Macaca fascicularis: one gene and its partners. The protein of the gene in region 4 binds, or shares a complex with, the protein of the main gene of each other region. Links are inferred from orthologs where the notes say so. Each region holds a gene or a part of one and is shown on either strand. Other genes may lie near its edges.

Region 1 (3,500 bases), on a different chromosome or scaffold from region 4:
CCATAATGATGAGTACCAGGAGACGATGGTGGAGTCCACTTTTATGTACCTGACACTTGACCTTCCTACTGCCCCCCTCTACAAGGACGAGAAGGAGCAGCTCATCATTCCCCAAGTGCCACTCTTCAACATCCTGGCCAAATTCAATGGCATCACTGAGAAGGTAGCCCATTAACACACCTGCCCTGCCTATATTTATCTTTGCGCTCTTGACTTTTTCATTTTCTTTTTTTTTTCTTTTTCAAGACAGTTTTGCTCTTGTCGCCCAAGCTGGAGTGCAGTGGCATGATTTCAGCTCACTGCAATCTCCACCTTCCAGTTTCAAGTGATTCTCCTGCCTCAGCCTCCTGAGTAACTGGGGTTACAGACATCCACCACCATGCCCAGCTAATTTTTTTGTATTTTTAGTAGAGATGAGATTTCAGCATGTTGGCCAGGCTAGTCTCGAACTCTTGACCTCAAGTGATCCATCTGCCTCGCCTCCCAAAGTGCTGGAATTATAGGCGTGAGCCACCATGCCCGGCCCATTTTCATTTTATACATAAGAATCACCACATGTATGTAATGTATTTATTTTAAAGTATATTGACTTTATTGAGCCTACCAGACTCCTTGGTATTTCTAGCTGGTCACGCCCAACTCTTAACTTACAGTGCCCATCTTTTTATTATTTTCTGAGACAGGGTCTTGCTCTGTCACCCAGGCTGGGGTGCAGTGGCATGATCATGGCTCACTGCAACTTCAAACTCTTGGGCTCAAGTGATCCTCTCACCTTAGCCTCCTGAGTAGCTGGGACTTTTTAGTAGAGATGGGGTTTCTCCATGTTGGTCAGGTTGGTCTCGAACTCCCGACCTCAGATGATCTACCCGCCTCGGCCTCCCAAAGTGCTGGGATTACAGGTGAGAGCCATCGTGCCTGGCCAATTTTTTATTTTGTGAAGAAAAAAAAGACACGCTTCCCCACGCCCAGCTAAGGTTTTTTGTAGAGAAAGCTCTCACTCTGTTGCCCAGGCTGGTCTTTAACTCCTGGCCTCAAGGTATCTTCCCACCTTGACCTCCCAAAGTGTTGGGATTATAGATGTGAACCAGTGCCCAACCACAGTGCCCCCTCTTGTACTTCTCATATATCCTTTTTTCAGCTTCCTGCCTGCTTCTGGGTAGTATAGAGAAAAGAAGGTCATTTAGGAGAGGAGAAACTCCAAAAAGTGGGGAGACATACTTTTTTTTTTTGAGATGGAGTCTCACTCTGTTTCCTTGTCTGGAGTGCAGTGGTGTGATCTCAGCCTACTGCAACCTCTGCCTACTGGGTTCAAGCAATTCTTCTGCCTCAGCCTCCTGAATAGCTGGGACTACAGGTACATGCCACCATGCCCAGCTAATGTTTGTATTTTTAGTAGAGATGGGGTTTCACCATGTTGGCCAGGCTGGTCTCGATCTCCTGGCCTCAAGTGATCTGCCTGCCTCAGCCTCTCAAAATATTGGGATTATAGGCATGAACCATCATGCCTGGTTAGCTTGCTTTCTTTACATACATATTTATATATATATATATATATTTTTTTTTTCCTTTTCTTTTTTTTTTTCTGAGACAGAGTCTCACTCTGTCGCCCAGGCTGGAGTGCAGTGACGCGATCTCGGCTCCCTGCAAGCTCTGCCTCCCGGGTTCACGCCATTCTCCTGGCTCAGCCTCCCGAGTTGCTGGGACTATAGGCGCCCGCCACCACACCCAGCTAATTTTTTGTATTTTTAGTAGAGACAGGATTTCACCATGTTAGCCAGGATGGTCTCGATCTCCTGGCCTCATGATCCACCGGCCTTGGCCTCCCAAAGTGCTGGGATTACAGGCGTAAGCCACCGCGCCCGGCCTTTTTTTTTTTTTTCTTTTTTTTCTTTTTTAGTAGAGATTGGGTTTCACCATGTTGTCAAGGCTCGTCTGGAACTTCTGTGCTGAAGTGATCCGCCTGCCTCGGCGTCCTATAGTGATAGGATTACAGGCGTGAGCCACCAGGCCTGGCCTTTTTTTTAAGTCAGCCTTAGCCAAACTGCACATCCTAAGCCTCATACATAATTTCTGGGACCAAGAGTCTTGTGAACTTTCGGTGTGAGGCAAAATTACATTTTCAAAAACCAAAATGAAAACCTCATGCCCCTGCTCTAATACCTACTGAACTTCAGCACTAATTTGATAATTTTCTTTTTTTTCTCTAGGAATATAAGACTTACAAGGAGAACTTTCTGAAGCGCTTCCAGCTTACCAAGCTACCTCCATATCTAATCTTTTGTATCAAGAGATTCACTAAGAACAACTTCTTTGTTGAGAAGAATCCAACTATTGTCAATTTCCCTATTACGTAAGTAACACCCTGCTTCACTTCCTCTCACGGGGAGTGAACCTGGATTTCTTCTCTTATGTTTTTACCAGTATTAATTTTGGACTGTCTTAGTTGGGGATTACAATTAACAGAGCCTACCTACAGTAGATAACAGTTTTTATTGGAAGGATACACTTAACTTCAGGGACCACAAAAGATAGATGTTTACTAGGAGGCAATCCCTGTTTATCCCCTCTCCTGTTGCTGGCCGGAAATTATAGTCCTCCTGCGTAGAGAAGAAGAAATGATGCAAGTAGGATAGGACAAGTAGAATTCTGCCTGGTTTGGAAGATGTCCTGAGTAGTGAGGGTCTGCCCATCTATTTGCTGGCTATCACACCTTTTTGCACACTGGAGTTGTACTAGATGCTTTTAATTTGCTTCCTTCTAACTCAGAAAACTTCTGCAAAATCCTTTTGGGGGTAGACTGTTGGTTTTCAGTTCTCAAGAGACAAGGTTTTTCACACTTAAGAAGATGTTGGGCTGGTCATGGTGGCTCACCTGTAATCCCAGCACGTTGGGAGGCCAAGGCAGATGGATCGCTTGAGCTCAGGAGTTCAAGACCAGCCTGGGCAACATGGCAAAACCCCTTCTCTAAAAAAAAAATACAAAAAATCAGCCCGATGTGGTGGTGCACACCTGTAGTCCCAGCTACTTGAGGGGCTGAGGCAGGAGGATTACTTGAACCTTGGAGATTGAGGCTACAGTGAGGTGAGATGGTGTCACTGCCCTGCAGCCTGGGTGATAGAGTGTGACTGTGCTCAAAAAAAAAAAAAGAAAGAAAGAAGTAGTGTCAGTTTTAAATTCTACGTAGCGTTTAAGAAGGTAGTATCTAAAATTAAGAGGCCCGAGTTTTAGGCTGCCTTAGTGGTGGGCCCTCAGACCCGTAGTTTGCATGTTTTCTGGGTATGTTCTCTCAAAGATAAAATGAGCAGCTTGGAGTAGATGGGCCTGAGCCCTCGGGGTTTGTCCAGGTGTAACATCTTGTTATAGTATTGCTAGGACTCTTAGAACCATGGAGGGTGAGGAGAGAGAACATTTGCAGTTGAGAATTACAGGGGAATTTTCTCTTTTCTCTTTTCCCCCACTTTTCTCCACTAACATCTTGTTTGTGAGACAGTAGAATTAAA
Region 2 (4,120 bases), on a different chromosome or scaffold from region 4:
AATGTTTATAATGGTTTTATTTATATTCACTAAAATCTGGGAACAACCCAAATGTCCAGCAACTGACAAGTGAATTGTATGATATATCCATACAATGGAATTCTACTCAGTAATACAAAAGAAGAAATTATTGATACATGTAACAATATGGATGAAATCTCAACTCAAAATACTAAGTGAAAAAAATCAGATCCAAAAGGCTATGTAGGATTCCATTTATATGACATTCTGGAAAAGGCAAAACTAGGGACAGAACACAAATTAGTGATTGCCATGGTTTGAGTATGGGAATAAGTGGATTAACTACAGAAACAAGGGAACTTTGGGGATGATAGACAATTCCATATTTGACTGTAGTGAATGTATGTAAAAAATTCAAAACTAAAAAGGATAAAAATTTATGTGAAGTTATACTTTAAATCAACCTTTTTTTCCTGAGGTGATTTAAATAAATATGTTAGGTAGTTTGATGACCCGTTAAGTATGAAAGTGGTACCAGAATGGCTTGAAACTCATAAAATATTGGCGGAGTGGTTACGAGTTATTCCAAAAATCAAATAATGCATATGTTTATTCATAAGGCCCTTGTCATTTCAGAAGCTGGAAATGAAACAGTACTAATGTCTTTGAATTTGTGGCTTCACCACTTTTTAGCTCCACAACTAGGAGCTAAATCAGGAGAGATTAATCTCTCTAAACTGTTTTCTTTTCTATAAAAGAAGGATCATCATACTTGCCTACAGGGTAGAGTTACCAGATAAAATACAGGAAGATTGGTTAAGTGATGCGACTTTCAGACCAACCACGAATCCTACTTTAGTACAAGTAGGTACCAAATATATTTATAATTAAAAAGCGATTCGCTGTTAATCTGAAACTCAACTTTAGACGTTCTGTAATGAGAGAAAGAGAGAGAGAGAGAGAGAGAGAGAGAGAGAGAGAGAGAGAGAGAGAGAGAGAGAGAGAGAGAGAATGAATAAGAATCTGACAGCCCTACAGAGAAGTTATGAGAACAAATGAGACACTGGAACCACAAGACGTTCGCCCAGCATTTGGCATAATAAGCGCCTCAATGGTAGGGAACGCTGTTTTAATCCCAGCCTCTTATGCATTACGTCTTACTTTATTCTTTCGCCCAATTTTTAAATAAATCAGCTGCACGTGTGGCCCTTCTTTCCAAGCAGGCAAAAACTCAAAGGAAGCATCCAGGTACAATATAACAGGACCCGGATTGTTAAGCTTAGAAATTCCAAGAGCGGGCGACGTCATGACGCAAAGGCTCCGCCCCGGAAGAGGCACTGGACGCGTAATTAAGACGCCGACTAGCCCGGCGCTAGCCTCGGGGCTTGACGGGATTGTGGCGGTCCTCTCTCCCAACTCGGAAGCTACAGCTGCCTCCGGACGCTCTCAAGATGGCGACCTCTCTGGGTTCCAACACCTACAACAGGCAGAACTGGGAGGATGCGGTGAGTGTTCCTGCCGGAGGAGGATGGAAGGAGGAGGCGAAGCCGCGCACCTTGCAAGCTCGCAGGACAAGGCCTGCGGCGCGGCCGAAGGAATTCCGGGGAGGAGCCAAGGCGGTGGCCTAGCTTTGGCCGGAGTAGGAGGCCGGAGGGCGATCCTCTTGCGGGCTTGAAGGGCGGGGGCTTAGCCAGGGTCCCGGGACCAGCGCCCTTTCCATCCCTGCCCCCTCCAGCCTATTCGAGCTGGTTTTCTTTTCTCCCGCCGCCTGCCGGAAGTGCAGACAGCGCCCCCTCCCGCGATCGGGTCGTGATGGACTTCGGGTTCCTGCCGTACCTTGTTCCCCACCCTGGCTTCCCGCCCCCTCGCCGCCCCAAGTGTCACTGAGGTGTCAGGGTCTTCGGAAGGTGGTCCTCAACCAGATTTCCCATTTTCACCAGGACTTCCCCATTCTGTGCCAGACATGTCTTGGAGAAAACCCATATATCCGAATGGTGAGTGATCGCGTGTGAAACGAGTTATTCATGTCCTGTCAGTGTTGTGGTACTTGCACACTGTGAAGTGTTTCTCTTAGACAAGCAGAAAAAATGATGCTGTTTTACTAACCCAAAGTGCTGGACGACTTGCAAAGAACTGTCATGTGTATTCTCTTACTTACGAATCCGGTAACACTCCTGTGATGTAGGGGTAATCATGATAGCTAGTATTTGTTGAGCATTTACCCAGGAAATAGGTCTGTTGACCAGAAGGTGAGAGCGTTTGTGTCTTTTCATACAATAGTAATGAATGGAGCTGGGATTCAAGTTCAGATATTCTGGCTGTAGGAATGTCAGCATGATAGGAGGAGAACCAGAACTAAAAACTAGGTTTCCTGACTCCTGGTCAAATGCCTTTTGGCCAGTGTACTTTATCTCTTTAAGCATTCCCCGTTTCTTATAAACAAGGGTAAAATTAGAACCAGTTAACAATAATTAGGTTAGGGCTGTATTATTGTGTAGTCGTAGAGATGTTGATATATTAGTATGTTCAAGATGTTTGAATGGTTCAAGATGTTTGAATAGTTCTGTTTAAACAGAACATTTACTATATTCCGGGCACTGGCACAGGTCAAGTCTACAGTAGCTACCTTTTGACTAAACTTTGTAAAGTGGGCGGGCCATAGCTGTATCCTCTCTGATTTAGGGATTGTGGAAACCATTAGGAATGTTAGTTCTTGGGAGTGAACTTGGGAGCCAAAAATGAACCTAGGAGTTGTGGCTGTGGAAAGACACTCAGTTACCTAGTATTAGATGCATATACTCTATTTTTTTTTTCCCTGTGGAGACAGCGTCTTGCTATGTTGCCCAGGCTGGTCTGGAACTCCTGGGCTCAAGCGATCCTTCCACCTTGGCCTCTCAAAGTGTTGGGATTACAGGCGTGAGCCGCTGCCACCTGGCCCAGATCCGTATACTCTTGAGATGTTATAACTTACAATATGTTGTTATAGTATGTTTCCTACCCTCTTCCCAAAAAAGTTTGGGTTTTGGTTTTTGTTGTTGTTGTTGTTGTTTTTCTCTCTCTCTAGGATGCCAGGGATTTCCAGACACATTTCTTGGGTTATGTTTAAGGAAATAGTAGACACCTGGCTTTTTTCTTTCTGTAACTCCAGTTCTTTTCTATTTTTTTTCTATTATAGACCAAAGAAAAGTATGGGAAGGAATGCAAAGTAAGTATGTCTGTTAAAGAGTAATGATTTCTGTTTCATTTTTCTTTTCTCTACCAAATTAGCCTTCAGCTTACTAAGTTTTGAGGTCTTCCAGTAAGAATCAGTGCCATACAACTTTTTATGTATTACTGATATATTCATTGGCTGGCAACTATTTATGTGGGAGGTAAGAAAATGAACCCTCTGATGTAGAGATTCTAATGTCAGTGGATGGGCATTGAAGGAGTTTGTATACCAGGTGGTATATGACTGTCCACATGAGCATTTTAGCTGAGGAGGAAGGTCATCCCTGTCAGAAGATTCTCAAAAAATTTTATGACACTCCCCACTCCCCCTAAAAAAGATTAAGGTTCAGATTATTATTGGTGCTTACCTCTAGGATGGGAAGAACTTTGACCTTTTGGCTATTTCATTTCTGTACTCTGAATTTTTGCTGGAGAAGGATGCTGAAAATTGTATTGAAACATCAAATCAACTAGATGGTTGCTAAGGTCTCTTCTAAACCCTACATTCAGGGATCCTTTTTTGAATGCCCCATTGTTATCAGAGCTCCAGATTGCCCAGATCAGGGCCATTAACATTCTGTGGCTCTTGTTTTGTGTTCCAGATCTGTGCCAGGCCATTCACCGTGTTTCGCTGGTGCCCTGGAGTCCGCATGCGTTTCAAGAAGACTGAAGTGTGCCAAACCTGCAGTAAATTGAAGAATGTCTGTCAGACCTGCCTCTTAGACCTAGAGTATGGTATGCTTGACCTGTCCAATAGATCTGAAAGTGTGCAGGTGCCTAAAACTACAAGCCAGTCTTTTGTCTCCCACTTCTCACCCTAGCTCTGGTTCTGATTTCACTTTGGAATGTCTGCTGTGGTCTGCTTTTCCCAGGAAAAGAACCATAATTAGTCTGTTCTAGAGTCCTGAACAATAGTAGGAACTTAAGGAAAATTTGGGAATTAATCAAA
Region 3 (3,500 bases), on a different chromosome or scaffold from region 4:
TAAATGGCCAGAGAGAGGAAACAATCTGACTGCACTGACGCCCTATAAAAAGGTATTACAGTTATCAACCAGAAGCATTCAAAAGATGAGCTCAAATGAAGCATCAAGAAAAGACAGTATATATTAAGTACCCTAATTTGCTATTTTTCATTCCAAAAATCACACCCCAGAATAACTTTCATTAGCATTCCAAGAGCAGACCTTATTGACACCAAGCTTTTGAAGATTTTTTTTTCTAACCTTTAATATTGAGTTCCTCACCCAATGGAATCCTGAGTCAATCAAATTGCTACTGCCCCCACTTCTCTTCCTTTTTTTACTTAGTCCCTTTGCTCTTTGCAAAGAGTTGGAAATTACAAGTTGGAATGGTGCATATGACAAAGAATATCAACATCAAAAATTTTCATGTACCTTATCTCTGCATTAGTTTAAAAATTACCATAGTTTATAAACCAGGGCGCATCTAATCTCTGAAGTGTGATAACCACAGAGCTAAAGCAAAATTACTGAAACTAAGCAGGAGACTTGGTGCTAGTACCAGCCCATTACTCACTGATTTGGTGCCCAAAAGGAAGAAGATTGTAGCAGGAGCTTATGGGGAAAGGCCTGGCTACAAGGATGCAGAACACTAAATCATGAACGCTATATCATGGCCAATTCAGATGGCTTGAAGACTGATTAGTCACCTGTGATGGATGTGCGGGCACCTCCAAAGCCTAACCCAGAATTATATTCAATTTGACTTCCCTGCACCTTTACCAGAAACACTAAATGTTCCACATCAACAGCTAAAACTGTATGTTGGCTTCATTATAATAGCATTACAGCAAACAGAAACAACCAACTTGCTTACCTTCGTGTGTCCAGACCACACATGAATTTGTTTTTTGGGAAGATAACACTTCTCAGGTGGCATAGTTGACCGTAGATTAACACCAACATCCTGAGGTATGTGAAGATAGGACCTGCCTTGATAGTCATACATTTCTTTAACTGAAACAAAAAGGCAAAGAAAATCAATAAACAAATACAACTCATAGTCATGAAACCTATATTTTTAAAATCACATTTTTTTCACAGGGATATCTTCCATATTAAGGTTCAGGTAGTAACACTCCAATGATGTAAAGATCAAGAGTCAGCTAAGATATAAGTGCTTAAAATAACTGCTATCATTTACAACTAGAGGTAGTATTTCGAAATTCCTAAATACCCAGAGATTACAGACCTTTAGATAAGATCTATACTTCTTTTCATCACTTACACATCTTAGTAATCTATAAAGACTTCACTGTGGCATAATTATAGCAAGGGAAGATAATACTTGGGCCTTGTGAGTCACTGGTAAAGAAGCAGAAGTAAAACAGGTTAAGAAGGAAGTTAAAACAAAACAAAATATATCAACTATCCTTTTCCCGTGCTTTCCTCTTTTATGCCCTTCCAGTTCCCTTTCATTTATCTTTTCCTGCTTTCATCACAAATTTTACAATAAGGTCACCTGTGAGATTTAAATGACATACTGTATATAAAGCAATTAGCAACATGCCTGGCACAGAGTAAGTACTCAATAAATGTTATTATATTATTGTTATTATAGTTTTGAGCACCATAGTACTGAATAGACTCCTTGGAGATAAAACTGAAGCTTGAAGAATGAAATATGGCTTCATCAAACCTAAATATCTGATGTAATATAACATTAGAATAAGCAACACTGTAAGCACTAAGTTATTCTTTACAGTTTTAGATAATCACTATGTAAGTTCCTAAAATATAACTAATTATTAACTAACAGGTACATTCTAGAATACTTATGATTTATTTTGGTGAATATGCATTTCCTTCTACAAGTCAAAATAAGTATGAAAGCCTTAATCTCCATCTTTTCACATGAAAATCCAAGTTTATTCTGAGTATAGCTGAATAACGGTTATGAACTGTGTGGATACCTGAGTATTTGGCTTCATTAAAAACAGTTAAAATGACTCGGGCACTATTAATACACCAAAAGAGTCAACTTTATCTTACGAAAGAATAGACTGTGGACTATTCAAGTTTCTTCTTTATCTATCATTTAATAAAATTCATTAACACTTGGAAAAAAATTATCTGTGGCTATGATTAATCATGCTATTTTTTCTCCTTTATCAGTGTACAGAAGTCTGCTGTAATTTCCTTGGGATACAAATTGTCTAACATAATTATACTCAACATAATGATTTTATGACAGCTGATAGTAAGGGTAATGATACTGTATGAACAGCTAACAGAGTAAATATAAAAGGTTTTTCATAAAAATGAAGATGTATAAAAAATGTTACCATGTAAGATTGTCTTCTCCTCCCCAGGTTTCTCTTCTTCCTGCTTTCCTTTTTTCTGCCTCTTTGCTGTGATTTCATCCAATTCTTTTTGTTCTTCCTAAGAAAATTAAGGAGTGAAATTTAAAGTGAATGTTCTAGAACCTCATTATACCTAAAGTTGGTGCTATAAATTATTTATAATGAGGTCTACATATCTGGTCCAAGTATGTTCCCAGGATAACAAGCTCAACACTTTTTTTTTTTTTTTTCTGAGACTGGCTCATGAAGACAGTGAGATTAGGAGGTGAGGAAGGGAATGGCAGAGCATTTACTTTACAAACTTTATAGTAGTTTTAAAAATACACATAGAGATAACATTTGTTTAAAATTTTAAATAAATTCATAAATCAATAAAACTTCTAATCAATTCTAGTGTCATAGAAGGCTGATTTTGTAGTTACTATCTGAATGTCTAGTATCAGAAGAACAGCTACCATGGCAGCCTAATAGCAATATCAAGGAAATCTTTATGAAAATTGTTCAATATTGTAATTCAATAAAAAAGCATGAGAGAAAACAAATCAGCAAAAAAGGTAAATAAAAATATTTCAAAGAAAAATAAATTTTATTGTATATTTTCAATCAACTAAAGGCAGAAAAATTTTGATGAGTCATTTGGTTCTCTAAGGAAATCTCAAGTTTATCAATGTAGATATCCTTCATAGAGATACAGCATAGACCTGAACTGACAATTACAAACATCAAAGCTTACTTCTGAAGGTTTGGCTACATCTTTTTCATCCACATATTTTGCCCATGGTCCCAAGAAACCATCAATATTGGATGCATCATTTTCTTTAAACTTTTTCCTCTTTTCTGTTTTCTTCTGACCAGTTTCAAATACAGTTAAACCTACGGTAACCAAAAAAAAAAAAGAGAGAGAGATGTACATTTTCTAAAGAAATATGAACAGATGTTTATTTTTGTTTTATATGGTTAAAGAAAGATGATTGTTCAAGTGACCACAGAGTCATTAAAAAACAAACAAGCTACACGAATCTACCACATACGCTGACTCATGCTACACAAAAAGGGATTCAACCTTCTGGGCAAAGATACTTAAAACTAATTCAATATTCTGCAAATTCTAATAGTGTATACTTGAAGAAGAGACCCAAATATGTGTTCCTACAATGGCAC
Region 4 (3,959 bases):
GCTATCACGTACAGCTTCATCTTGTACCATACTCCCCTTCATTCTCTTTGTATCAGTCACACTGGCTCTTTGTGCTTTTAGTCATTTTTCCTCCCAAGTGCCTCAGGGCTCTGAACAAGTAGTTCTCTACGGAAGGTTCTGCCTTTACCTCTTCACTTAATTAATTACAATTCTTCCTGCAGCTACCAGAGCAGGCATCTTTTCCTCTGAAAAACCTTCCTGCTTATTTCAGGCACTCAGCATCAAACAGCACTAGGAGGCATTTCCATGTATTAGTGAGGTCATTGTTTAACGTTTTCCCCACCAGACTTAAACGCCCTGAGAGTAGGGACCGTGTCTGGTTCACGACGTACCCCCAACGCGCTGCTAAATAAATATCAGCTGGACGACTGACGCAATGACCACGTTCATGGGCATGAGTCTCAAATTTCTCAACAAGACTGCGCTCTGGAGAAGGAGTCGGACATTTCCTTCATCATTGTCTCTCTCAGGGGGGCAGAGACTAGGCCCTAATCAAAAACTGCAAAATCAGTGGCAGAAACAAGTCAGCCTCCTCGGCCAAACGGGGCGCCGGAGGAAGTTGGAACACAGGCCTTTCTCCCTGGGAATGCCCGGCACAGGACTGGCCACGACGGGCGCTCTTGAAGAAGGGAGCCGCAGGGACTGGGTCTTGCCGCCAGAGACCCCCAAGGCTCCGCTCCCGCCCGGAAAGGGAGCCCATGCTACTACTTACCACAGCTGGGGACTCGGGGCCCCGCCTCCCACCCCTTGCTATCGGCACCCTCAGCTGAGAAGGGCAGCTTCAGACTGCACAACCGAGGCGTCGCCTTCAGACTCAGGCTGCCACCCACCCAGCTCTTCCTCATACGTACTAGGCGTCAGCTCCAGGCCCCCGAGTCCCGGCGCTGAACTAAACGCCGAGCCCAGTCAGCCAGCGCGTTTCCACCCACAAGACCCAGCGCGCCTAGGGAGGTCGCCAGCTCCGTCCACCAATCCTGGAATCGCACTCTCATGACGTCAGAAAGATATGCCCAATAACAAGAGACTATCCGAGGGCAGTGCAAATGGGTATATTGAAAACCGATTGGTTCTTCCAAGCTGGAAGTTGTGGAGGAAGGACTAAGCTGGAACCAATTGCGTGGCGCCTGAGGGGGGCAGCGCGGTCAGTGGCGGCGCTGAAGAGACCGGTTGCCGCCATGATAGAACAACAGAAGCGTAAGGGCCCAGAGTTGCCGCTGGTTCCAGTCAAGCGGCAGCGGCATGAGTTGCTACTGGGAGCGGGGTCGGGCCCGGGAGCCGGGCAGCAGCAGGCGACGCCGGGAGCTTTGCTGCAAGCGGTAAGTGAAGAAGCAGGCGGCCTTTGGCCCTCAGCTCATCTTCCTCCCCTCAGAGCGCTGTATCTGGTGACCCGGCACCGACCCTTCCCGCATTGCGGGGGGCAGAACGAGAGTTTCTACCTAGAGTTAAAGCACACCAACATTGTAAAAGCGCCTCATAGCCTGCGGATGCTCAGTACTTGTTCGCCCGTTTGGCGCTGGTTTTCAGCCTCTCGACTGCCTTGTGAGGTAGCGTTAGAATTAGCGTTGAGAACCTTGGGCTCACAACCCGGACCCGGGCTTAAGCATCCTGACTCTAACATGGATCTAGCGTAGAACAGAAATTCCGAAGACTTTGTAGAATGAATGAATGAGGGAGGGAGGAAAAGAGGGAAATGATTGGTGTTGGCTCGTTTTGGGACTTTGGGCAAGTTGCTTTTCCCTTTATTTCTCTGCACTAGTATTATTAACAACTGAATAGCAGCTAACATTCGTTGACTCTTGTACTAAGGTGTTTCGTATATGAAATTTCCATTGATCTTGGTAGCAGCCTGTTAGGAACGTTATTAACCCATTTTGCAGATGGAAAAGCAGACTTATCAAGCACGTGATAGAAACAGATGTTGAACTGAGAAACCATGCTCCTAACTATATTTTTTGTAAGATGGAAATAGTGATCACACTTCTAATGCCCTGTTTAGGCTCAGACGAGGAAATACGAGTGTCCTCTCATCTCCTCAATAAATCCTGCTGGCACCGTTCTCAAAATAGATCTAGAATTGCTACTTCTACCATTTCCATCACTGCCTCATGGCCTAAGCCGTTATTATCTCATCTGGCATTTTTGTAGTGGGACCCTAACTGGTCTTCCACTTTCTGCCTTTGTAGCAGCACCTGTTACCAAGCCAATAACCAAAGGAATCCTTCTAAACAACGGATCACATTACATTCTGCAGAAAACTTTCTGGTGGCTTTCTACTTCATCCAGAGTAAAAACCAAAATTCTTATAATTATTTGTCCTCTTTCCCTTTACCTCTCTGACCAATTTCTCATTGCTCACCCGGCTTCAGTTACACTCTCTTCCAAACCTCTGCCTCTGGACCTTTGCATTTGCTGTCCTCCCTATGGGATTGCTCTTCCCAAATGTTCACATGGTTTATTATTCAGCTCCTGCGAATATTTGCCCAAATGTAATTTTTTCAGTGAGGGTTTTCCTGACCACCCTGTTTTAAATTGCAGTGCCACATAATGTGGAACCCACATTGCTTCTCTCTCTCTCTCTCTCTCTCTCTCTTTTTTCTTTTGAGATAGAATCTCTCTGTGTTGACCACTGGCTCGCTGCATCCTCCGCCACCAGGGATCAAGTAATCCTTCTGCCTCAGCCTCCTGAATAGCTAGGACCACAGACACATACCACCACACCTAATTGTATTGTATTTTTTTGTAGAGACAGGATTTCACTCCTGAGCTCAAGCAATCTGCACACCTTGGCCTCCCAAAGTGCTGAGATTACAGGCATGAGCCACCTTGCCCATCCCTTCTTTTTTTCTATAGCACATGACACCAAGTATATATTTTGCTTGTTTTCTCTCACCTTCTCTCCTCCCTTCCCCCTTTCCCACTGGAACAGCAAGCTCCATTGTTTATTTTGTTCATAGCTGTTTGCCCAGTGCCTAGCACATAACTTTTTATTTTTAAGATGGGATTTTGCTTTTGTCACCCAGGCTGGAGTGGAATGGCGCGATCTCAGCGCACTACAACCTCCGCCTCCAGGGTTCAAACGATTCTCCTGCCTCAGCCTCCCGAGTGGCTGGAATTACAGGCGCCCACCACCACGCCTGGCTAGTTTTTGTGTTTTTTTTTAAGTACAGATGGGGTTTCACCATGTTGGTCAGGCTGGTCTCAAACTCTTAACCTCAAGTGATCTGCCCACCTCAGCCTCCCCAAGTGCTGGGATTATAGGTGTGAGCCACCGTGCCCAGCCTGCACATAACATTTTTTAAAACTAAATGAATGTGGCGGGGCTTGGTGGCGGGCACCTGTAATCCCAGCCACTCAGGAGGCTGATGCAGGAGAATCGCCTGAACCCAGGAGGCAGAGTTTGCAATGAGATGAGATCATGCCATTGTACTCCAGCCTGGGCAACAGAGCAAGACTCCTTCCCAATAAATAAATAAGTAAGAATGTGCTGGAAAGTGCTGAAGAGATTTGGGGATTATGGGTAGTATACTTCTCCCATTTGACAAGTGAGCATATCAGCCCATGTTTAGATGAATTGCCCAAGTGTCATCTTAGTGTCCAAGACCATAATCAAAACTACTTCACCCGTGCTGAGGATCCCTTCGCTATGAAAAAAATAAGAAAAATAGGCCATGTGCAGTGGCTCATGCCTGTAATCTCAGCACTCTGGGAGGCCAAGGCAGGCAGATCACTTGAGGCTGGGAGTTTGAGACCAGCCTGGCCAACATGGTGAAACCCCATCTCTACTAAAAATGCAAAAACTAGCTGGGCATGGTTGTGCATGCCTGTAATCTTGGCTGCTCGGGAGGCTGAGGCACCAGATCCCTTGAACCCAGAAAGCAGAGGTTGCAGTGAGCCGAGATCACGCCACTGCATGCCAACCTGGGTGACAGAGCAAGACT
Region 5 (3,500 bases), on a different chromosome or scaffold from region 4:
TGGTTTTGATGAAATTTGATTTTCTTTTATAGTTTTTGAATCCTATGGTAATTAATGAGAATATAAAGCTAGAGTTTGAGGTTTAATTATTGCTGGTCATCAGACACAAATGCAACTAACTGTGTACCCGTGGAGCCTACTGCCACATCATCTCATTAATGTTGGATGCTCCCTTTTCCATTGCATAGGCTGCACACATGTATTCTGGGGCTAAAACTGGGTTGGTGTTAACTGACATACAGCGAGAACAGCAGGAGCTCAAGAAACAGGATCAAGAAACCATGGCATTTGAAGGTAAAAATATGAAAGTGCAGAGACCAATCCAGGCTCATTTTTTTTTTTTTAATTTAGCTTATTGTACCTGGTATTTTAAACTTTTAATTGCTATCAAATTTCAGCTCTGGTTTTATGCATGGTTGTAATTTCTCAGTGAGTCCCAGTGTTTCTTTCCTTCTTGAAAAATGCCATTTCGCCCAGGCGTGGTGACTCATTGTAATTCCAGCAATTTGGTAGTCCGAGGCGGGTGGATCAGCTGAGGTCTGTAGTTCGAGACCAGCCTGGCTAACATGATGAAACCCCGTCTCTACTAAAAATAGAAAAAAACTAGCCAGACGTGGTGTTGCATGCCTGTAATCCCAGCTACTCAGGAAGCTGAGACAGGAGAATCGCTTGAACCCGGGAGATGGAGGTTGCGGTGAGCCAAGATCGCGCCACTGCACTCCAGCCTTGGCAACAGAGCGAGACTCCATATCAAAAAAAAAAAAAAAAGAAAAATGCCATTTCTCGGGCCCAGTGCCAATATGCACCTAGATGTTGGTAGGAACTACTTTGGTCTGGCTGCAGAAGTTCTTATCCAGCATTAGAATCCCAAGTGGTTGATTTGATCTCTTAGAATGTTATTTCTGATTTTGATCCTGATATTTGAGTATAATTTTCCTTTGCAGCTGAATTTCAATATGCTGAAACCGTATTTCGAGATAAGTCTGGTCGTAAGAGGAATTTGAAACTGGAACGTTTAGAGCAAAGGAGGAAAGCAGAAAAGGACTCAGAGAGAGATGAGCTGTATGCCCAGTGGGGAAAAGGGTAAGGGAACCACTGAAAGGGTAAACAAGATGGCAGTGACTGGAACAAGTCATTTCTCTGCTCTTCTTGATCACTCACTTTCTTATTATGCCTTCAGAGCTGTTATCAGTAATGGGAAATTTGGTGTGCTGAATCTTCTTCCTAGGATATTGATATATTCCACACTTCCAGTGGATATTCTGGGAATTTTACCCTGCTCAGTATTTGCCCTAGGGTACTACTAGAAAGAGGAGAGTCTCCAAATTTAGCAGTATGGTCCATCTTGTGTAGAAGTGGAAATGTCATACAGGATAGCAAACACTCTTGGTTCTTTTTTGCCCAGGCTTGCCCAGAGCCGGCAACAGCAACAAAATGTGGAGGATGCAGTGAAAGAGATGCAAAAGCCTCTGGCCCGCTATATTGATGACGAAGATCTGGATAGGATGCTAAGAGAACAAGAAAGAGAGGGGGACCCCATGGCCGACTTCATCAAGAAGAATAAGGCCAAGGAGAACAAGAATAAAAAAGGTGGGACTTCTGGGAATCATCAGAGCTGGAGGTGACTTGTGAAGAGAGAGAATCATTAGGATTCTGATACATAGCTGTATGCAAGGAAGGATTTCCCAAATAATTTAAATTCATTGTATTTGTGAGTTTAGATTCAACTCAACTGGTCTTTCTATGTGAAAATTTTTCCGGGCCAGGCACGGTGGCTCATGCTTGTAATCCCAGCACTTTGGGAGGCTGAGGTGGGTGAATCACCTGAGGTCAGGAGTTGGAGACCAGCCTGGCCATTGTGAAACCCCATCTCTACTAAAAATACAAAAAAAAATTAGCTGGACGTGGTGGTGCACGCTTGTAATCCCAGCTACTTAGGAGGCTAAGGTACGAGAATCGCTTGAACCCAGGAGGCAGAGGTTGCAGTAAGCCGAGATTGTGCCACTGTACTCCAGCCTGGGCAACAGAGTGAGACTCTATTAAAAAAATAATAATAATAATAAAAAATTCCCACATTGCCATCCAGCTCTGAATTAAATTATGTCATTAACTAAATACTTTTTTCTTACTCCTCTCTTTAGTGAGACCTCGCTACAGTGGTCCAGCACCTCCTCCCAACAGATTTAATATCTGGCCCGGATATCGCTGGGATGGAGTGGACAGGTAAGCCTGGGTATTTCTTAGGTTTTTATTTTCTCTTCTACCTGACTGTAACCTTCCCTAACCACTCGTAAGTTGCTCCACACTTTATTTCATTCTCTGCTTTAATCACAAGGTGAAAAATATGCACTTTGCTTGCTTCTATTTCTGAGGTCCACAAATCCTATTTTTCATGCTTGGAACACTCCTCTTTCTGTTTCCTTTTCATAACACTTTTTAAAGCTCTGTACAAACAACTCAGGTGGTTCAGATAAGACACCCTTTGTTTTGGACATTGGTTACTTTTAATGATATTTTCTAAGGTTTAGAGGGGTCGAGTGATGAGTCGTAGTCTGGAGCCTTCTATGTGATATGTCTTTAAAATGTAGCCTCTGAATCTTTCTTCACTTTACGGTCTTAGGAGGCAGTCACTTTTAATGTCTCACGGTCCTCTACCACCTCATCTGTCTACCTACCAGCATCTGTACCCACATGCTCTAACTTCCTGTCTGTTATGATGGATGAACTATATTTGCTTCCATCCAGAGTCAGTTCGTGTACTTACGTATTAGATTCTATCTCCTCTTGCCTACTAAAGGACATTGTTTTAGTATCTAGCACAATAATTCTCAAACTTTTTAATTTCAGGATCCTTTTACACTCTTTTTTTTTTTTTTTTGAGATGGAGTCTCGCCCTGTTGCCTGGGCTGGAATGCAGTGGCGCAATCTCAGCTCACTGCAACCTCTGCCTCCCGGGTTCGAGCGATTCTCCTGCCCCAGCCTCCCGAGTAGTTGGGATTACAGGCGCGTGCTGCCATGCCCAGCTATTTTTTATATCTTTAGTAGAGACAGGTTTTCACTATGTTGCCAGGCTGGTCTCGAACTCCTGACCTTAGGTGATACGTCCACCTTGGCCTCCCAGAGTACTGGGATTCCAGGTTTACAGGATTACAGGATTACAGGTGAGCCACCATGCACAACCACTCTTGTTTTTTGTTGTTGTTGAGGCAGAGTCTTGCTCTGTTGCCCAGGCTGGAGTGCAGTGGTGCGATCTCCACTTCCCGGGTTCAAGCAATTCTCATGCTTCTGCGGCCTGAGTAGTTGGGATTACAGGTGTGCATCACCATACCCAGCTAATTTTTGTATTTTTAGTAGAGACGGGGTTTTTGCCACGTTGGCCAGGCTGGTCTTCAATTCCTGGGCTCATATGATCGTCTGCCTCAACTTCCCAAAGTGCTGCGATTACAGGCTTGAGCCACCATGCCTGGCCTACACTCTTAAAAATTACTGATGACCTCAGA
Region 6 (3,500 bases), about 12 Mb from region 4:
CAACACTCCAAGTCACTAATATTTCCCTTCTGTCTGCTCAGGGAGATGGTACTGGAGTTGCCAGTATTTACCGGGGGCCATTTGCCGATGAAAATTTTAAACTTAGACACTCAGCCCCAGGCCTGCTTTCCATGGTAAGTGAGGTCCAATCAAGGTTTTGCGTTACAGCCAGCTGGTTTCTGGGCCCCTCTTGAGGCCCAATGCTGTGTTTTGGCATGATGAAAGCAAATGCTTTCTTTCTCTTGCTTGCCCCAGGACTCACCTTTACCACCTCTTTTCTCAGTCTGGTTTGATTGAGAAAACCGGTAGGTACATGGTGGATTACAGGTGTGAGCCTGTATCACGTCTGTAATCCTAGCACTTTGGGAGGCTGAGGCGGGTGGATAACCCGAGGTCAGGAGTTCGAGACCAGCCTGGCCAACATGGTGAAACCCATCTCTACTAAAAATACAAAAAATTAGCCAGGTGTGGTGGTGGGTGCCTGTAATCCCAGCTACTTGGGAGGCTGAGGTAGGAGAATCGCTTGAACCCAAGAAGGGGAGATTGCAGTGAGCCAAGATCGTGCCACTGCACTCCAGCCTGGGCAACAAGAGCGAAACTCCGTCTTAAAAAAAAGAAAAGAAAGAAAAGAAAACCAGTAGGTAAGACCCTCTAGCAGGCTAGCAGGCTGGGGAACTAAAATATGAACCAGGGTTTGTGTCTAGGCATTCAGCCCTACTGCTCAGAATGTAAAAAGCTGTGCTTTCAAGACATATTCATAGCTGGGCCTGGTGGCTCACACCTGTAATCCCAGCACTTTGGGAGGCCAAGGCAAGAGGATTGCTTGAGGTTGAGGTCAGGAGTTTGAAACCAGTATGGGTAACATAGTGAAACTTAAGTCTCTACTAAAAAAAGAAAAAAAAAATTAGCCAGGTATAGTGACACACACCTGGAGTCCCACCTACTAGGGAGGCTGAGGTGGGAGGATTGCTTGAGCCCAGGAATTTGAGTCTGCAGTGAGCCATATCCTGTTCATCTCTGGATCCTTGGATCCTAGCTTAGGCCCTGGCTCATAATAGGTGCTAAGTTAGATTTACTGAAAAAAACATGGAGGGATTAGGGTTACAAGCTCTTTTGGGAATCTTACCCATCAGGTAACATGGCCAAGGAAACTTACTGCAGGTATATTTGGTTTCCATCAGGCAAATAGTGGTCCGAGTACAAATGGCTGTCAGTTCTTTATCACCTGCTCTAAGTGCGATTGGCTGGATGGGAAGCATGTGGTGTTTGGTAAGTCCTACTCATGTCCCATGGTCCAGGCCCCATTCACCGCGGATGGAACCTCCAGAGGAGTTAGTTCTCAGACTCTTACCAAGAATGCTCAACTTGGATAACTGCTTAGGTGGTAACAGAGAAAACAGAAATGGTGGGGAGGTGGGGAACATGTTTGGCTAGAGAACTAGAGGGAAGGACAAAAGGGCCATTTGATATAGTATGGAACCACTCAGGGGAAAAACCCAGTAGCTAGCACCAAAGAAATGCCATACAGGCAGCATGATATGGTGAGACTTTGCAGTCACTCAGATATAAGTGTGAGCCCTAACTCTACTTATTACCTATGACCTTGAGCAAGTCATTTCACCTCTACTGCATCTTAATTTCCTAAAGTTAGTAACAGAATCTAATGACATAATAGCTAAGAATGGGCTTTGGAAGCTGGAAAACGCTATGTAAACAAGAATAAAGTCCAGCTCACACTCTTCCTACAGGAAAAATCATCGATGGACTTCTAGTGATGAGAAAGATTGAGGTAAGTACTGCTTTGATTTTTCTCTTTCTCTCCCATTCTGGTCTGGTACTGTCTGACTAGCGTCCAGGAGCTAGAGAAGGGGGAATGAGCTCCAGTTTGTTAGGCCCAGTCTTCATTGCTTCAGGAAAAGGGAGGAGAGACCACCTAAGTTAGCCTGTCTGGTCAGCACTGAGGTTTGGCCCCTGACGACCCTGTTGCCTACTTGATAAAATTCTACTCCTCAGCATTGCATTCAAGGTCCTTCATGATTAGTCCCTGTCTACTTCTCCACGGCCCCTTCTCCTGCCACTGCCTCTTTCATGTTCCAGTCACATCAGGCTACTAGCTCTTCCCTAAATCTGCCATACACATCTCTGCCCCTTGCTCTTTCCTGCTCCTGAGCCTTTGTTCACACTGTTTCCTGTAGCTGGAATGCTCTTCTTTCCTTCCCTCCTGGTGGAATCCCATTCATCCTTCTAGGCACAGTTCAAATAATCCTCTTTTGTGAATCCTTCCCTGACCTCTTTAAGCAGCAATTTAGTTACCCGTCTACCCCTTATCCAACTCTCTCATAACTTTTTGTTATATTATCATAGGTTTGATGTTTTCTAAGTGTTTTGCATTTTCTCTTTGATACCTGTCTGCCAGGACATGGACAGTTTCTGAGTGCTGAGTCCTTAGCACAGGGGCTGGCAGGCATCAGTAAAAGTTTGATAAGGGAATGAGGAAGTGCCTGAGTGGATGAATGTCCATTGTGCTTTTTTTCCTAGAATGTTCCCACAGGCCCCAACAATAAGCCCAAGCTGCCTGTGGTGATCTCACAGTGTGGGGAGATGTAGTCCAAAGACTGAATCAGGTAAGTGTGTCTTTCTGCTATTAGGTTAGGAGTCAGACCTCAAAGAAGACAGCATGGTCTAGTGGAAAGATCTTTAGTCTTGAAGACATGAGATTGAGCCCAGTTCCTCTGTGTGTGACCTTGGAGTGGTCACTTTCCTTCTCTGAGCATGTGTCCTCATCTGTCAAATGGAAATACTGTAATACCTATCTCTCAGAGTCACTGTAAAAATCAAAAGAGAAAGGGTTGTAGGAGCACTGTACTTTTCTATCACTTTGTAATGTACAAAGTATCAATCTGAAAACTACTCAGGCAGTTTGTAACAGCACTTTCAGACTACAGTTCCATTCAGTAGTCCCCCTAGAAAGACCTGGCTCCAGGCCTGAGTAACTCTCTGCTGGGACCAGGCCAAGCAGCCAGGAGACACGCCTGTCATGCACCTCATCAGAACTGATACTGCAATTCCAGGCCTTGACTTCGTATTTGCCGGCCTCACAGGTGAATGCCTTGCATCTTCCAGCCTACATGGACTCATTTCTTACCCGTATTTGCCACTGCCTGCTCTGCGCTGGGCAGCATGCTCGCTGCAGAGAGCGGGGCAAAGAATTGAAAGGTGTCTCCTTTCAGGAGCTCATGGGAAGTAAGACATTCTCAGAGGTCATCACTAGTAATATGAGTGACACTGCCAAGTGTGAGAAGAGTACAAGGGGGAAATCCGAGGTGAGGGATAGTAATGTTTTTCTTTTTTTTAATTTCAAACCTGCAAAAAAGTTAGAAGAATACCTTGACCACCCATATATCTTCACTTAGATTCACCAGTGATTAACATTCTTGTTTTATTTCTTTGCCTTGACATTGGTTTTTTTCTTTCCCTTCTTGCCTCCTCATCCATTTCCA
Region 7 (3,968 bases), on a different chromosome or scaffold from region 4:
GTCTGGGGCCTGTGTTCTGTAACCATGGAAGAAACTGAGCATGGACTTTCTGTGCAGTTCCATCGTGATCCAATATGGGAGGAAATCCCTAGGGAGAGAGAAGTGGCCCATCTAGTTGCCTTGGGGAAGAGTAGGGGAACTCTCACACTGTCCTCGTCTGGCTCCAGCAGGTGCCGCCTGGGCAGTCTTTGCTTAGGGGGATGCAGGCTCCGAGTGTCCTCAAGAGCTAGAGGTTCCAGTACAGGGGCTGACCCCCCGCCACCTCCCCCAGTCCCGCTTCTGCTTGGGCCACATTCTGTTACCTGGGCACGAGTTGCTAGGCCCTGTTTGCTCAGAGGAGCTTCATGCTACAGAGAGGCACTGTTGCCCTTTTCCAGGCCGTGGTGCTAGGCCCTGTTTGCTCAGAGGGGCTTCATGCTACAGAGAGGCACTGTTGCCCTTTTCCAGGCCTATCTGAGAGCAGGGCACAGGGACTTCTGGCCTGGGTACTGGTGCCAATGCCACCTCTCCAGTGATGGCTCTCCCACCTCAGAAGCCAGGAACTCGCCCAGGGTATGGGCGTGGGACAAATGACTTCCCCTGGGTCCTAAAGGGAGCTGTGTCCAGAAAGTGCCCCGAGAGCCGTCCAGGGGCCCCGGGCTGGCCATCGGGAGAGCCAGGCTTCCCCTCGGGGAGGGCAAGGCTCCACCTCTCAGATAGGAGAGCTTACCACCGGACCACAGGAGTGGGAAGGCAGGATTTCTAACGAGACGGTAGGGGCGCTGAGCCCTCAGCCCTGGTGGAAGGGTGACTCGAACCCAGCACAGGAAAACGGGGCAGCGACCCACTGGCCCTGCTCGGACTTTGCCCCTCCATCCTGACCCTGGGCGACCCTTTAAGTAGATGCTCTCGTTTTTCTCCAGAGCCTCTACTGCTTGAATGAGGGAATCGAAGGTACTTCCGGCCATTTCTCACGCCCGGTCAGAGTGTAGGCATTCACAGGTCCCCTCTTCTCGCCATTGTCCTCCCACGCGACTGACGTCACTTCTTGCGGGAGAGAGGGTGGAGGCGTCTTCCCTCGCTCACCGCGTACTTCCGCCCGCTCTTCCAGTTAGTTCCCTAACCCGAGTGAAGCCACTTCCGGGCTTCCCAGGCGCCTTCCACAGTCCTCTTCCGGGTGATGGCGGCCGGGTGCCCCGGATGTAGCCTTGGCGCAAGCATCTCTTCTTTTCGCCACCTCGCCTCCCGCGGAGTCCCAGGTGAGCGCGCGAGGGTGGGACAGCCCGGATCCCCGTGGCCCTCTAATTTGTACACAGCCCGGGACAGTTGGGGCTCACCACACGGAATTGGGAGTTCGGAGCAGGGAGGAACGGGGTGGCGAGAGCGCCAGGTCCTGGGTCTGCCCGGGCCCCGCGAGCTCCGAGAGAGCCAGAGTAGGAGGCGGGGGTCAGCCGGTCGAGCCGGTGGCGCCCAGACTGCGGGGGCTGGAGTTGGGAGCGGTCACGTGGTGAAGTCTGTTCCCTGTTGGCCAGGGTCAGGGGATCCAGAGGGTCCGCTCCTCCGTCCCCACCCCATTTAACTCGCGGATGCTAGACCCAAGTCCTGCAGGCCTCCTGGCTGCCAGCTTCTCTTCAGCCCTTGCTTTTGTGCTCCCTCCGCTCCCAAACTGTACCTGTCACAGACCAGGAAAAATATTTGCTGTGCTGGGTCCTCTGGTGGCGAGTCCCCTCCTCACCCCATTCTCTTTCTCTGTATCCTTTCCTCAGCTTGAGAAACACCTCTCTGCCCCGTCATGCCAAAGAGGAAAGTGACCTTCCAAGGCGTGGGAGATGAGGAAGATGAGGATGAAATCAGTGTCCCCAAGAAGAAGGTGAGGGGGCCAGACTCCTTTGTGTGGGGGAAAGAGAGGAGCTAGAAGCCTGAGGAGAAAGAAAGCTGGCGGGAGTGGGGCGGGGCGGGCAGGCAGAGAAAAGCCTAGTTTTTTCAGGTTCTCTGAAGAATGGGTTGGGAGCATCTTCAGTGTGGGTCCTAAAATATTTGGGGAAGTAGTCGAGATCCTGAAATATTTGGGGAATATTTGGGTCCAGATCCGGAAGTATTTGGGGAGGTAGCCAGTAACCTGCATTTCTTGACTTGACTCCTGCTCACAGCTGGTGGACCCTGTGGCTGGGTCAGGGGGTCCTGGGAGCCGCTTCAAAGGCAAACACTCTTTGGATAGCGATGAGGAGGATGATGATGATGGGGGGTCCAGCAAATACGACATCCTGGCCTCAGAGGATGTAGAAGGTGAGCTGTACCCAAGAATACACTCTGCTGGAGAAACAAGTAGGGGCCTCTGGTGGTGTGGAGTGAGGGAGGCTCCAGTCTCTCTTTTCCATGCCTAGAAAAGGGCACCTGTGTCTTTGGTACAGGTCAGGAGGCAGCCACACTCCCCAGCGAGGGGGGTGTTCGGATCACACCCTTTAACCTGCAGGAGGAGATGGAGGAAGGACACTTTGATGCTGATGGCAACTACTTCCTGAACCGGGATGCTCAGATCCGAGACAGCTGGCTGGACAACATTGACTGGGTGAGGCCCAGGGGCTGGTGTGGCTGGGGCCGGGGAGTGGCGGATGCTAGGCCTGCTCCCATGGCAGTTCGTGGGAAATCACTGCATCTTTCCATGACAGGTGAAGATCCGGGAGCGGCCACCTGGCCAGCACCAGGCCTCAGACTCGGAGGAGGAAGACAGCTTGGGCCAGACCCCAATGAGTGCCCAAGCCCTCTTGGAGGGACTTTTGGAGCTTCTGTTGCCTAGAGAGACAGTGGCTGGGGCACTGAGGCGTCTAGGGGCCCGAGGAGGAGGCAAAGGGAGCAGCAAGGGGCCTGGGCGTCCCAGTTCCCCTCAGCGCCTGGACCGGCTCTCCGGGTTGGCCGACCAGATGGTGGCCCGGGGCAACCTTGGCGTGTACCAGGAAACAAGGGAACGGTTGGCTATGCGGCTGAAGGGTTTGGGGTGTCAGACCGTGGGACCCCACAATCCCACACCCCCACCCTCCCTGGACATGTTCGCTGAGGAAGTGGCAGAGGAGGAACTGGAGACCCCAACCCCTACCCAGAGAGGAGGTAAGCTTGGAGGACAGAGGAGGGGGCAGTGGGCGGGAAGTGAGACACCGGAGGTCAAATGGCTTTGCCTGTTATTTTAGAAGCAGAGTCGCCAGGAGATGGTCTGGTGGATGTGATGTGGGAATATAAGTGGGAGAACACGGGGGATGCCGAGCTGTATGGGCCCTTCACCAGCGCCCAGATGCAGGTGAGCTGCTTTCTCCCTCCTTCTGGCTTGTCCCTGCTTCCCCTACTCCTGTCAGTCCTTCCCCAGCTCTGCCCTCTCCTTGCAGACCTGGGTGAGTGAAGGCTACTTCCCGGACGGTGTTTATTGCCGGAAGCTGGACCCCCCTGGTGGTCAGTTCTACAACTCCAAACGCATTGACTTTGAGCTCTACACCTGAGCCTGCTGGGGGCCCAGTTTGGTGGGTCATTCTTTCCTGGACTTTGTGGAGAAGGCACCAAGTGTCTCAGGCAGTGAGGAAATTGGAGGCCATTTTTCAGTCAATTTCCCTTTCCCAATAAAAGCCTTTAGTTGTGTATTGGGGCCTTGGCTGTGCTGACGGCCAGAAGCCAGGGGCCTTCTCCACAGCCACTTTGGACTTGCCTTGGTCCCTGAGTGTTTGCTCCCATGAAGATCTTCTTTGGAGGTGCCTGTCAGGTGTCCTGTGGCCTCACTGCCTGGACTCTGCTTGCTGTGTAAACACCCCCAACTGCGCTACTTTGTGTTCCTCTCTGAGGTTTCTTGTTTGATTCCCCTTAGGTCTTTGGCTTTCAGGATGTCAGATTCTTTGTCCTTGTAGCCACCAGGGGATGGAGCCCCAGAAGTGGAGCTTTTAGGCCTGGAAGGACCGGGGCATGGAGAAGACATTGGGTCTCTGTTGGGGGTGGGCATGGAAACGTTT

What was found.
Region 1: SNRNP40 (region 4) and USP39 share a complex: the UniProt entries of both Homo sapiens proteins name them as parts of the U4/U6-U5 tri-snRNP complex. The link is inferred for Macaca fascicularis from reciprocal best matches to the Homo sapiens genes SNRNP40 and USP39.
Region 2: SNRNP40 (region 4) and RBM22 share a complex: the UniProt entries of both Homo sapiens proteins name them as parts of the postcatalytic spliceosome P complex. The link is inferred for Macaca fascicularis from reciprocal best matches to the Homo sapiens genes SNRNP40 and RBM22.
Region 3: SNRNP40 (region 4) and CDC40 share a complex: the UniProt entries of both Homo sapiens proteins name them as parts of the postcatalytic spliceosome P complex. The link is inferred for Macaca fascicularis from reciprocal best matches to the Homo sapiens genes SNRNP40 and CDC40.
Region 5: SNRNP40 (region 4) and BUD13 share a complex: the UniProt entries of both Homo sapiens proteins name them as parts of the minor spliceosome. The link is inferred for Macaca fascicularis from reciprocal best matches to the Homo sapiens genes SNRNP40 and BUD13.
Region 6: SNRNP40 (region 4) and PPIH share a complex: the UniProt entries of both Homo sapiens proteins name them as parts of the U4/U6-U5 tri-snRNP complex. The link is inferred for Macaca fascicularis from reciprocal best matches to the Homo sapiens genes SNRNP40 and PPIH.
Region 7: SNRNP40 (region 4) and CD2BP2 share a complex: the UniProt entries of both Homo sapiens proteins name them as parts of the U5 snRNP complex. The link is inferred for Macaca fascicularis from reciprocal best matches to the Homo sapiens genes SNRNP40 and CD2BP2.

What each region holds. Positions count from the first base shown.
Region 1 is NC_088387.1:35,945,862-35,949,361, reverse strand, and holds part of USP39 (ubiquitin carboxyl-terminal hydrolase 39), read left to right. Parts: coding exon 1-163; intron 164-2,207; coding exon 2,208-2,350; intron 2,351-3,500.
Region 2 is NC_088380.1:157,581,478-157,585,597, reverse strand, and holds the start of RBM22 (pre-mRNA-splicing factor RBM22), read left to right. Parts: upstream 1-1,320; 5' UTR 1,321-1,412; coding exon 1,413-1,466; intron 1,467-1,901; coding exon 1,902-1,955; intron 1,956-3,136; coding exon 3,137-3,166; intron 3,167-3,773; coding exon 3,774-3,906; intron 3,907-4,120. UniProt on the Homo sapiens protein: Required for pre-mRNA splicing as component of the activated spliceosome. Involved in the first step of pre-mRNA splicing.
Region 3 is NC_088378.1:14,240,477-14,243,976, reverse strand, and holds part of CDC40 (pre-mRNA-processing factor 17), read right to left. Parts: intron 3,213-3,500; coding exon 3,073-3,212; intron 2,419-3,072; coding exon 2,322-2,418; intron 994-2,321; coding exon 854-993; intron 43-853; coding exon 1-42. UniProt on the Homo sapiens protein: Required for pre-mRNA splicing as component of the activated spliceosome. Plays an important role in embryonic brain development; this function does not require proline isomerization.
Region 4 is NC_088375.1:203,713,518-203,717,476, forward strand, and holds the start of SNRNP40 (U5 small nuclear ribonucleoprotein 40 kDa protein), read left to right. Parts: upstream 1-1,159; 5' UTR 1,160-1,196; coding exon 1,197-1,337; intron 1,338-3,959. UniProt on the Homo sapiens protein: Required for pre-mRNA splicing as component of the activated spliceosome. Component of the U5 small nuclear ribonucleoprotein (snRNP) complex and the U4/U6-U5 tri-snRNP complex, building blocks of the spliceosome.
Region 5 is NC_088388.1:115,610,320-115,613,819, reverse strand, and holds part of BUD13 (BUD13 homolog), read left to right. Parts: intron 1-188; coding exon 189-294; intron 295-944; coding exon 945-1,083; intron 1,084-1,405; coding exon 1,406-1,590; intron 1,591-2,141; coding exon 2,142-2,223; intron 2,224-3,500. UniProt on the Homo sapiens protein: Involved in pre-mRNA splicing as component of the activated spliceosome. As a component of the minor spliceosome, involved in the splicing of U12-type introns in pre-mRNAs.
Region 6 is NC_088375.1:192,203,566-192,207,065, reverse strand, and holds part of PPIH (peptidyl-prolyl cis-trans isomerase H), read left to right. Parts: intron 1-41; coding exon 42-134; intron 135-1,181; coding exon 1,182-1,269; intron 1,270-1,748; coding exon 1,749-1,789; intron 1,790-2,538; coding exon 2,539-2,607; 3' UTR 2,608-2,624; intron 2,625-3,500. UniProt on the Homo sapiens protein: PPIase that catalyzes the cis-trans isomerization of proline imidic peptide bonds in oligopeptides and may therefore assist protein folding. Participates in pre-mRNA splicing.
Region 7 is NC_088394.1:28,493,692-28,497,659, reverse strand, and holds the start of CD2BP2 (CD2 antigen cytoplasmic tail-binding protein 2), read left to right. Parts: upstream 1-1,168; 5' UTR 1,169-1,238; intron 1,239-1,745; 5' UTR 1,746-1,771; coding exon 1,772-1,849; intron 1,850-2,129; coding exon 2,130-2,265; intron 2,266-2,390; coding exon 2,391-2,548; intron 2,549-2,648; coding exon 2,649-3,084; intron 3,085-3,164; coding exon 3,165-3,271; intron 3,272-3,337; coding exon of another isoform or gene 3,338-3,356; coding exon 3,357-3,467; 3' UTR 3,468-3,968. UniProt on the Homo sapiens protein: Involved in pre-mRNA splicing as component of the U5 snRNP complex that is involved in spliceosome assembly.